Schizosaccharomyces pombe: one gene and its partner. The main gene of each other region encodes a partner of the protein of the gene in region 2 in a complex. Each region holds a gene or a part of one and is shown on either strand. Other genes may lie near its edges. The genes, in order: pst2 and prw1. A codon is read from its position in the direction of its gene.

Evidence for each region.
Region 1: the proteins of prw1 (region 2) and pst2 are in contact, whole or in part, in a cryo-EM structure (PDB 8I02), measured with the Schizosaccharomyces pombe proteins. Residues at the interface, in NP_594864.1 of Schizosaccharomyces pombe: Glu23 (codon at 2,138), Lys24 (codon at 2,135), Cys25 (codon at 2,132), Asn27 (codon at 2,126), Glu29 (codon at 2,120), Tyr30 (codon at 2,047), Ile32 (codon at 2,041), Trp33 (codon at 2,038), Lys34 (codon at 2,035), Lys35 (codon at 2,032), Asn36 (codon at 2,029), Pro38 (codon at 2,023), Phe39 (codon at 2,020), Leu40 (codon at 2,017), Tyr41 (codon at 2,014), Asp42 (codon at 2,011), Leu43 (codon at 2,008), Ile44 (codon at 2,005), Ile45 (codon at 2,002), Thr46 (codon at 1,999), Arg47 (codon at 1,996), Ala48 (codon at 1,993), Leu49 (codon at 1,990), Glu50 (codon at 1,987), Pro96 (codon at 1,772), Leu98 (codon at 1,766), Leu118 (codon at 1,706), Arg119 (codon at 1,703), Val120 (codon at 1,700), Asn293 (codon at 1,181); in NP_593646.1 of Schizosaccharomyces pombe: Phe889 (codon at 5,076), Arg892 (codon at 5,085), Leu893 (codon at 5,088), Glu896 (codon at 5,097), Lys897 (codon at 5,100), Tyr958 (codon at 5,283), Asn960 (codon at 5,289), Tyr961 (codon at 5,292), Arg962 (codon at 5,295), Cys963 (codon at 5,298), Pro964 (codon at 5,301), Phe965 (codon at 5,304), Leu966 (codon at 5,307), Cys967 (codon at 5,310), Arg968 (codon at 5,313), Asn969 (codon at 5,316), Ile970 (codon at 5,319), Glu971 (codon at 5,322), Lys972 (codon at 5,325), Leu979 (codon at 5,346), Leu983 (codon at 5,358), Lys986 (codon at 5,367), Leu987 (codon at 5,370), Glu992 (codon at 5,385), Leu997 (codon at 5,400), Phe1006 (codon at 5,427), Lys1007 (codon at 5,430), Leu1008 (codon at 5,433), Tyr1010 (codon at 5,439), Leu1011 (codon at 5,442).

Annotation. Positions count from the first base shown.
Region 1 is NC_003424.3:2,158,285-2,164,681, forward strand, and holds pst2 (Clr6 histone deacetylase complex subunit Pst2), read left to right. Parts: upstream 1-2,201; 5' UTR 2,202-2,287; coding exon 2,288-2,318; exon of another isoform or gene 2,319-2,364; coding exon 2,365-2,545; exon of another isoform or gene 2,546-2,623; coding exon 2,624-5,639; 3' UTR 5,640-5,794; downstream 5,795-6,397. Other genes in the region: ER zinc importer, CDF family, Zhf1, read left to right, coding at 528-1,691; Polo kinase Plo1, read left to right, coding at 5,956-6,397. UniProt on the Schizosaccharomyces pombe protein: Has a role in chromatin assembly and chromosome segregation. Involved in the deacetylation of histones.
Region 2 is NC_003424.3:5,109,671-5,113,866, forward strand, and holds prw1 (histone chaperone, Clr6 and Rpd3L complex subunit Prw1), read right to left. Parts: upstream 2,213-4,196; 5' UTR 2,205-2,212; coding exon 2,120-2,204; exon of another isoform or gene 2,050-2,119; coding exon 1,944-2,049; exon of another isoform or gene 1,867-1,943; coding exon 762-1,866; 3' UTR 624-761; downstream 1-623. Other genes in the region: Ca(2+)/Mn(2+)-transporting P-type ATPase P5 type Cta5, read left to right, coding at 1-398, 445-623; fun14 (integral mitochondrial outer membrane (MOM) protein), read left to right, coding at 3,472-3,699, 3,811-4,026. UniProt on the Schizosaccharomyces pombe protein: Has a role in chromatin assembly and chromosome segregation. Involved in the deacetylation of histones.

The DNA of each region.
Region 1 (6,397 bases), 3.0 Mb from region 2:
CGATCGCAAAATTTGATCTTCTAACTATTTTGACTAATTTGTGCGTTTATTCTTAACACCGAATTGAAAGAAAATTTCAAAAGGTAGTCTTTGTTAGTTCCTTTTGTGGTAAACGCGATTAGTGGCCAGTCACTTACAAAACTTTGTTAAAGCAGACTAATAGTAGTCAACGTGTGATTTTATTTTTTCTTCACCGCTTACTTCTCAAAAGCCTCCTTTTTAATTTACTATCAAAAACGGCAGTTTTGGCAGTTTTTTGAAGGTTTATTGGTTTAATTAATTTATTCTGTAAAAACAAGGAAAGCAAAATTACAGATATTTGATTCTTTAGATTTTCTTAAACCCTCTCGCATCTTCGTCTTATTTTGGCTTTTTTTTTTGTTAAATATAGCAAGTTTGCGCCTCTTTTATTTAAATTCATTTTTAAAAAGCCACCTTTCATTCTAAATTTACCTTATTCCTTTTTCTCCCTGTGAAATTCAACCCTTACCATTTTTTTGAAATTGGTGACTTTTCGTTTTCAAACTATGTTCGACCTCGCAAGACAAACTCGGATTATCCTTTTATTAGGTATTGATGTTACTTTTTTCTTCATCGAAATTATTACTGGTTATGCGATCGATTCACTTGCCCTAATTGCTGATTCATTTCATATGTTAAATGACATTGTCAGTTTACTGGTCGCTCTCTGGGCTACTCGTCTAGCACATTCAACATCTCACGAACCAAAATACACATATGGCTGGCAACGTGCAGAGATTTTAGGTGCTTTGTCGAACGGTGTATTTCTCATTGCCCTTTGCATGTTCATTTTTATGGAAGCCATAGAGCGCTTCATTGAGCCTCCTTCTGTCAGCAATCCCACCCTTATGTTCTTTGTTGGTTCTTTAGGTCTGCTAAGCAATTTCGTTGGTATCTTTTTATTTCATGACCATGGTCATGATCATCCTCACACCCATACCGCTCAAAATTACGATTTTCCTGAAGAAGATGATATTGAATCCGTTTTACCTTCGACTATCGTTCATCGTTGTAATACCAGTCAACAAGAAGTCAGCCATACACACACTCAAGTCGCAGACTCTGCTACCGAATCTTCTCCTTTATTGAGTTACACTGGTAATCATAATGGTGCTGGTACTTCAAAGCCAGTCAACAACCATGGCAGTATTGAACAAGATGCACCAAAACAAACGAAGAAACGAAATTTGAATATGCATGGTGTCTTTCTTCATGTCTTGGGTGATGCTCTCGGTAATATTGGTGTTATTAGTGCTGCTTTATTCATCAAGTATACTGACTATTCTTGGCGTTTCCTCTTTGACCCATGCATTAGTATCCTTCTTACTTTCATTATTCTTTTTAGCGCAATTCCTCTCTGTAAATCCGCTGCTCTCATCTTATTACAAGTTGCTCCTCAAAGCATCAAACTGGATGATGTTTCCAACCTAATTAATCATCTAGACGGCGTGGAATCTGTTCATGAACTCCACATCTGGCAGCTTTCGGACGTTAAATTAATTGCCACTGTTCATGTCTGCGTTACACTTCCTGATGATAAGGGAGAGTCTTATACAAAGCTTACTACGGATATCCGTAATGTCCTTCAATCTTTTGGTATATATGATGTTACCATTCAACCAGAATTCGCCAATCATCCGCTTTTATGTGACCAAGGTTCCTCGTCTTAGTTTGCGAACATTATAAATTTAACGTGGTTAATCTATTGTGTCACATCTTTTGATTTATTCTTGAGGTAAAATTTTATATTGAATGTTTACTTTGTTTCATTTTTAAAGCGTAATTTCTTCTGCCATTCCTGTTCGTATTTAAAAACTTTATTTCACCATCTTGGTTGTTTGTTTTGCGAATGCACTTAAGTAAAGTAGTCGACAACTTAACTTTGAAAGTAGATAGTTTTCGATTTCTTATTCTTGATGAAGACGATGCATAGTTTCGGTTTTATTAAATCTCTATTATTCTTAGAAAATAATGTTTAGATGTAGTGTTTAATTATTTAAAAGGAATATTTTTTAACAATTATATTGGGTTTGATTCTTCTCGTTAGTATTTTTTCTAAAGTATTCGTTGTAAGTGTAAAACACCATCCAATGTGGTATTTGTGTTCATGTCTTGATAAATCATTTGAACTTTGGCTATCAGCGTCAGTTCATGTAATGCGTTGACGAGTTTGTGCGCTTAGTTGCATTTGCCGTTTCCCAAATCATCACCTCCAAAATAAACGAGATCGTATTCCTAGTCATTTGATGGTTAAAGATCAAAATACATGGAACAAACACTAGCGATATTAAAAAATGGTACGTATCAATTTAATACATAACTCATTTTAACCAATGTTGTTAGACAACTCAACGTTAGTGGCCGAGATGCAGAATCAATTAGTCCATGATTTTTCCCCTAATGGTACCGCACTCCCCGAGCTTGATATAAAGGCATTCGTTCAAAAGTTGGGTCAAAGACTGTGTCATCGTCCTTATGTTTATAGCGCTTTCATGGATGTTGTGAAGGCTTTACACAATGAAATGTATATATGGCTTATTTACTGAGTTGCTTTGAGATAGCTCTTTTTTTATTACTATTCACTTATTAACATGAACATTAGTGTCGATTTTCCCGGGTTTATTGAAAGAATATCTGTAATCTTAAGAGATTACCCAGATCTTTTAGAATATTTGAACATCTTTTTGCCCTCGTCTTATAAATACCTTTTATCGAATAGCGGTGCCAACTTCACATTGCAATTTACCACCCCATCTGGTCCAGTTTCTACACCGTCTACTTATGTAGCTACTTACAACGACTTACCTTGTACCTATCATAGAGCTATAGGATTTGTTTCACGAGTTCGACGAGCATTATTGAGCAATCCCGAACAGTTCTTTAAATTACAGGATAGTCTTCGTAAGTTTAAAAACTCTGAGTGTTCGCTTTCTGAGCTTCAGACTATTGTAACGTCTTTGCTAGCGGAGCATCCATCTTTAGCCCACGAGTTTCACAACTTTTTACCAAGCTCCATCTTTTTTGGGAGTAAACCTCCTCTAGGATCGTTTCCATTAAGAGGAATTCAGAGTTCCCAATTTACGTTGAGTAATATTTCTGATTTGCTTAGTCAATCAAGGCCGGACAACCTCTCACCATTTTCACATTTATCAAATGAGAGCAGTGACTTTTTCAAAAATGTGAAAAATGTACTTACCGATGTAGAAACTTACCACGAATTTTTAAAACTCCTGAATTTGTACGTTCAAGGGATAATTGATAGAAATATTCTGGTGAGTCGTGGGTTTGGGTTTCTTAAATCGAATTCGGGACTTTGGAGAAGCTTTTTAAGCCTTACTAGTTTGAGTCCGGAAGAGTTTTTATCTGTATACAATTCCGCTTGCTCAGACTTCCCGGAATGTGGCCCGAGTTACCGATTGCTTCCTGTCGAAGAACGCAATATTTCTTGCAGCGGTAGAGATGATTTTGCATGGGGTATACTTAATGATGACTGGGTCAGTCATCCAACTTGGGCATCTGAAGAAAGCGGTTTCATTGTTCAGAGGAAAACGCCTTATGAAGAGGCAATGACAAAGTTGGAAGAGGAACGTTATGAATTTGATCGGCATATTGAAGCTACTTCCTGGACAATCAAGTCTCTTAAAAAAATTCAGAACCGTATAAATGAATTGCCGGAAGAGGAAAGAGAAACATATACTCTCGAGGAAGGGCTAGGTTTACCATCAAAAAGTATATACAAGAAAACTATTAAGCTTGTTTATACCAGTGAGCATGCAGAGGAAATGTTTAAGGCCTTGGAAAGAATGCCTTGCCTCACATTACCATTGGTAATCAGCAGATTAGAAGAAAAAAACGAAGAGTGGAAGTCTGTTAAAAGAAGTCTTCAACCTGGATGGCGAAGTATTGAGTTTAAAAATTACGATAAGAGCTTAGATTCACAATGCGTTTATTTTAAGGCAAGAGATAAGAAGAATGTATCTTCAAAGTTTCTCTTAGCAGAAGCCGACATTCTACGATCGCAAGCGAAGCTCCATTTTCCTTTGCGAAGTAGATCAGCTTTCGAATTTTCTTTTGTATATGACAACGAAATAGTACTTTTTGATACTTGTTATATGGTATGCACATACATTGTATGTAACTCTCCCTCTGGTTTAAAGAAAGTTGAGCATTTTTTCAAGAATATATTGCCTTTACATTTTGGTCTTGAAAAGGATAAATTTTCGATATTCCTGGATCAAGTTTTTCGTGGTCCTGATTACGATGTGAATGCCCCGAATATAGTTGGTAACAAGCCTGTACGTCGGAAAAGATCTAATTCTATAACCCAGTTGACGGAATTTGTAAAACAACCTAAAATCAATGGTCAACGCGAAAGTCGTTCAGCTGCAGCTGCTCGCAAAAAAGAAGAATCCGGTAACAAATCACAATCTAACTCTCAAAACTCTTTAAGTGATGAATCTGGAAACGTAACGCCGGTTTCTAAGAAACAGCTTTCACAACCTGCTGCAGCCATTAAAGCCAGTCTCAAATATCCAAGTCATCCAGATAGTCTTTTGGAACATCAAGATCATGCTGGTGATACGGAGAATGAAATGCATGACGACGTCGATAAAGAACAGTTTGGATATTCTTCTATGTACGTATTTTTTAGACTTTTTAACTTATTATACGAAAGGCTTTATGAGCTTCAGCGTTTGGAGGATCAAGTGTCCATTATCCAACAGCGTATAATACCAAACCCAGTATCTCAAAAACAAAAGATTTGGCGCGATAGGTGGAATGATCTTTCAGATGTCCCTGATGAAAAAACTCATTACGAAAATACTTATGTGATGATTCTTCGATTAATATATGGGATAGTTGATCAAAGTGCCTTCGAGGACTATCTGCGGTTTTATTATGGCAATAAAGCCTATAAAATATATACTATTGATAAACTCGTTTGGTCTGCTGCTAAACAAGTCCACCACATCGTTTCCGATGGAAAATACAAATTCGTTACTAGTTTAGTCGAACAAAATAGTTCTGCTTCGCCTAAGAAGAATTATGATGACTTTCTTTATCGCTTGGAAATTGAAAAGCTTTTGAATCCTGATGAAATTTTGTTTCGATTTTGTTGGATAAACAAATTTAAATCATTTGGAATCAAAATAATGAAGCGAGCGAATCTTATTGTGGATCAAAGTTTGGATACACAGAGACGAGTTTGGAAAAAATATGTTCAAAATTATCGTATACAAAAACTTACTGAAGAAATATCTTATAAAAATTATCGTTGTCCCTTTCTTTGCAGAAATATAGAGAAAGAAAGAACAGTTGAGCAATTGGTTTCACGCCTTCAAACAAAGTTATTAAGATCTGCAGAATTGGTTTCCGGATTGCAAGCAAAATTATGTTTAGACTCGTTTAAATTGCTCTACTTACCACGCACAGAAGATTCTTACATAGATGCATCTTACCTGCGCCTTAGAGATACCGACTTCCTTGATTGCCAGAATAAAAGAAAACAGCGTTGGAGAAATCGATGGGAATCGTTATTAAAATCGGTTAGGGGAACTTCTGACAACACGGCAGAGGTGAATTTTGATGCTGACATTAATGCACTATTTATCCCATAATGATTTTAATGCAGTCGACCTACCTATTGATCATATTTACTTAAATACAATTTGACTTTAATAGTTTTATATTACTTTGTTAACATAACTTATCTTTCTAGGTATTTTATAATTTCAAGGATTTATGTATAGTACGAATTTACTGAAATTTTTGCACATAAGCTTTGTATTAAATTTTCTAAAGCCGTACTTCTGTAATTACTACATAAAATATTACAATGCACAGATTTTTATTTACAAACAAGCGGTTGTCGTAGCAACCACTTTGTTTACCCTCAAAAGTTACCACCTGCGTTTTGTTAGAAACAAATACCAAATGGCGAGTGTTGCAATTAAAGAGCCCAAAACTGCTATAACCCCGAAGAAGAAGTCCAAAGCCTCTCGTCTTTGCTTTACTCCGCCAACTAATCTTCATAATAATAAAAAAAATATATTCTACACTCGCTACGATTGCATTGGTGAAGGCGGCTTTGCGAGATGTTTTCGAGTCAAAGATAATTATGGAAATATTTACGCTGCTAAAGTTATTGCTAAAAGGTCACTACAAAATGATAAAACAAAGCTGAAGCTCTTTGGAGAAATAAAGGTGCACCAATCCATGAGTCATCCAAACATCGTAGGATTTATAGATTGTTTTGAAGATTCGACGAATATTTACTTAATTTTGGAGCTTTGTGAACATAAATCTTTAATGGAACTTTTACGTAAGCGAAAACAATTAACTGAGCCAGAGGTTCGGTATTTAATGATGCAAATTT
Region 2 (4,196 bases):
TTCTGGTGTCTTCTTTCTCTATTTAAAAAATTATAACTTTAACGATAACCAATTTTTGTTTATGGATCTGTTAATCATATTTCCACTGTCAGCAGCTATGAGTTACTTCGACCCTGCTCAAAATTTGACAAGCAATCGCCCTAATTCAACATTGTTTGGCAAAGGAAGAGTAAAGGATTTAGGAATTCAATCAGTATTAATATGGCTATCCCATGGCTTGCTGACTTTAATACTACACGAGTTGAACTGGGTTGAATTACCTGAATGGCAACTTGAAAAATCAAATACGAAAAACGTGCTAGTGACTAGCATATTTCTTTTAAGTTCTTTACAATATTTAGGAATTTGTATTGGAATAAACCAAAGTTCCGAGTTTTTGTCACCTATTTGGAAAAAAAGTAAGTGAAAATCCTGTCTTTTGTTTATTAACATCTTATGATATAGAAACTTATGTATGTTTGTGTACTACCATTGGCCTTTGCAATATCTATCTATGTTTTGCAAATGAAAATCACATTATCTCTAGGTGTTTGCAAATCACACGTCTACCGACACTGTATCGTTTCATAATACTTTTTATGGGAGTTATCTCGTGCTGCCTTACGAGTATTCTGAACATGTAAAAAAAACAAAATTAAATATATATATGTTAATCAAAAACTTGCTTTTATGTGCAATTAGGGTAGAAAAAAAAAGGAGTTAAAGAGAGAAACAGGTTTGGGACATTAAGTAAAATATCAATGAATGTTGTATACGACCGGTTAACTTAAATATGCCGTAGCATCTTCCTCTAATTGTTCATTACCCCAAATTGAGCGAGAAGGTGTCCAAATTTGAAGAATATTATCTTCAGCAGCGGTTGCCATTGTCCAATTATAATTAGGACACCAATCCATGTCAATTGTACAAGAAGTATGGCCTCCGTGCATAAAAAGAAGCTCCGGAGGACCGTCTTGAGCTTCCTCAGCAGGCTGATCTTCCCCGATTCTTGAAAGATCCCAAACTAAGGTCCTTCTATCGGCTGAGGTAGAAGCAAGAATAGGCTCTTCATGAGGAGAAAAGCTAATTTTTGTTACAATGTCTTCATGTCCTTCTAATGTATGTAAGCGTTGATTAAGGTTCCGTAAATCCCAAAGTGCAATGGTTTTGTCAGTCGAACAAGTAGCCAAAATAAAGTCGTTATGAGGGTTGAAAGCAACAGAATGAATAGGACCGCTATGGGCATGCACACTTCGAGCTGGCTTTGTGGAAGCATCAGGGCGACGAATATCATGAACATGAAGGTACTGATCATAGGAAACTGAAGCAAGAAGATCCTGGTGCTTATAATGAAAGCGTACATCACTGACCTGTTTTTCATGGCTGCTTATATGCACTTTCAAAACTGACGCTGAATCTGACTCGTTGTAAGCATTCAAATCCCAACAAGAAAGAGTAGCGTCTTGCGATCCAGAAACCAAAGTACCCTTAGAAAGAAAATTCCAACAAACACTAGTACAGGGCTGGGTATGTTTGGTCAATCTATATTTGGGCTTAAGAGGAGACTCACTAGCCGAGCTATAAGATTCGAAGGATTCCTTGTCAAAAACCAACACATCATTATGATAGTTACCCACCGTAGCTACACAAGAATCGTCTTGTGGCATAAGCTTCGCACTACAAACAGACTCAGGATGAGAATAAAGATTTGAGATATTAACACGTAGAGAAGACTCGTCACCCGCAGATGCTCCCTCCATTGTAGTAGGAGGAACAGTCTGATTTAAATAGGGTAATTGAATAGACGCAACAGCTAGTAAGTATTTGCCAACATCAGCACGAACTCCCAGAAACATTTTCTGCTCAGTATATCCATGTTCTGCAAAACTATAACAAAAAATAATGGTAAGTTTTTTGAGTCACATAAACAAGATTAAACATTATGATTCAAATGATTGACTTACATTTGCTGCTCTGGATACCATTGTAGTGACATACAAGGCCATTCCAAAGCTCTAGTAATTATTAAATCGTAAAGGAACGGTGAGTTCTTTTTCCAAATTTTATACTCTGTTTCAGATTAGAAACACATTTTACATTGATCAACTAGAAATTGTATGTTAAAACGTTGCAGACATACCTTCATTGATGCATTTTTCTTGATTTATTCCCTCCTCCGAAGCCTGCGCTTGCTTGGAAGGATGGGGAACAGCTGATACAGCCATTATGTTCTAGTTAAAATGATTGAATCTGCTTTTTGGTGGATGGTGAGTAGACGCGTGCAGCGCTAATGTGCACACTAAGTGTTCTTAAATAGGTGCAGGTTGGTTTATAAATTAAGATTGTTTAGGTTTTATATAATCACAGCCGTATAGATGTTTAAATGGGAAAAAACAATAGAAACTTAATCTTGTCTCATGCTTCGGCTAGCGTCTTTTCATCTTCTCTCTCGACCTGAGATGCGTTTCCACAGTGCTAGAAATTGCAACTTTTAAAGAGACTGTTAATTGTAAAAAGTTGAATTACTAAAAATGATTATGTTTGCTGAACATATGTATACAGAAGTGAGATATAATTTGGGTAGCACAAGCTTCCCGATGGACTGCTATAAGACACAAGATGGAAAGATAAATTTATAGAGCTGAGAGTTAAGAATCTTTAATTTAGATGAGTTTTTTTTTACTTTGCTTTCATGCTAATTTCATCTACTCTAACTTCTGCATGAATCAGTGCGTCAAGAACAGAAACACTTTGAAGCTTTTTTTTAGTCACACAAGGCAACAACCGCTTGAGAAGCAGGATTATTAAAATTGGTAAAAAAATTATGTTCCTCTTAGTTTTAAGGTACATTCAACTTGTGTATCGCCAATAGCAAAACGCAGCCAAAATTTCTGAAGTTCTCCTTTTTTTGAATATTCAATTGAGCGTGAATAAAAAGTATATGATTTAAAATAATGATCTCCCACCTGTTCTGCAATCCTTGGAAAATGCATCAAGTCATACTGAAAACCAAACGAGCAAGAAGCCGAATTCAAGATGCCCTCGTATTCTTGCGTACCCTTAGTAAAAGAAATGAGAAATATATTTAATTTAATTGTTAAAATGAAGACAATCCCGTTTCAATATGTATGCCGTTCTTTACATCAAGAAAAAAGAACTTCGAAGCAAGTCATACCAAACTAAAAGATCGTTGATCTTAAAAAGGAACATTATTAATTTTAGAAACGATGATGAAGAAGCACAAAATTACCTTTCACTTAAATACTTCGTACACAATACATTTGTTTACATCTTTCTCTTATAATAAATCTACCTTAAGACACACACTTTCTCAGTAAGCTGATTAAGAAAAAGCAACGAAGATACTTTATCCATCTTTTATTTACATCTTCGAGACATGACGTTTCGTAATAATTCCCACCTTTAGACTAAACCGTTTCCACCAAATTTGTACCTTTTCTATTATTTTTCTTTATTTTTTACTCTCACATAATGAATTGTTTACTTCTAGGAAGAGGATTCTTGCACAGGTTTCACCCATTTCGCCCAGTCTTGTGTGAAGATTCGGCAAGTGCTGCAACTACTATCACCTCTCAATTTAAGCTGAATTACCGTCAAATCTTTATTGGAAGCTCTCTTGGTTTAGCAGCCGGATTTGCTTTAGGAAAATTGGGCCGTTTATTCATCGTTGCCTGCTCCGCCGTTTTCGCTACCATTGCTGTAAGTGCTTAAGTTTGATTCTTTATTTATATTTAGAGGTTTTAAAAACCTTGTGTTTCGCACTGAAAATCGTATTTATCTTTCATAATACTAACACAATACGTTTATTAGTATATTAACAGTAAAGGTCTGATCCGAATTAATTGGCCCCAGCTGCAGCAACAAGTTATAGGTCCTACGGAGCAGTATACTGGATTTCATTTCCCAAGTTCAGGTAGGTTTAATACTCAATCAACATTTCCTACCATTCGTAATTGGATCTGTACAAACCCCAATTTCAAGCTGAGCTTCTTTTCAGCTATGTATGTTGGATTTGTGTCATCATAAAAGTGGCTGAATTTCACCACAACACATTTCGATTTTGATACATTGTTCAGCCCTCGCACTCCTCTCAATTCCTATGATTCCTTTGAACCCCAACGTTCGTTCTATACTACCAATAGTGAAACATTTTGCTCACGCTCCTGTTCAGAAGCTTACTTTTCATATGCATCTAT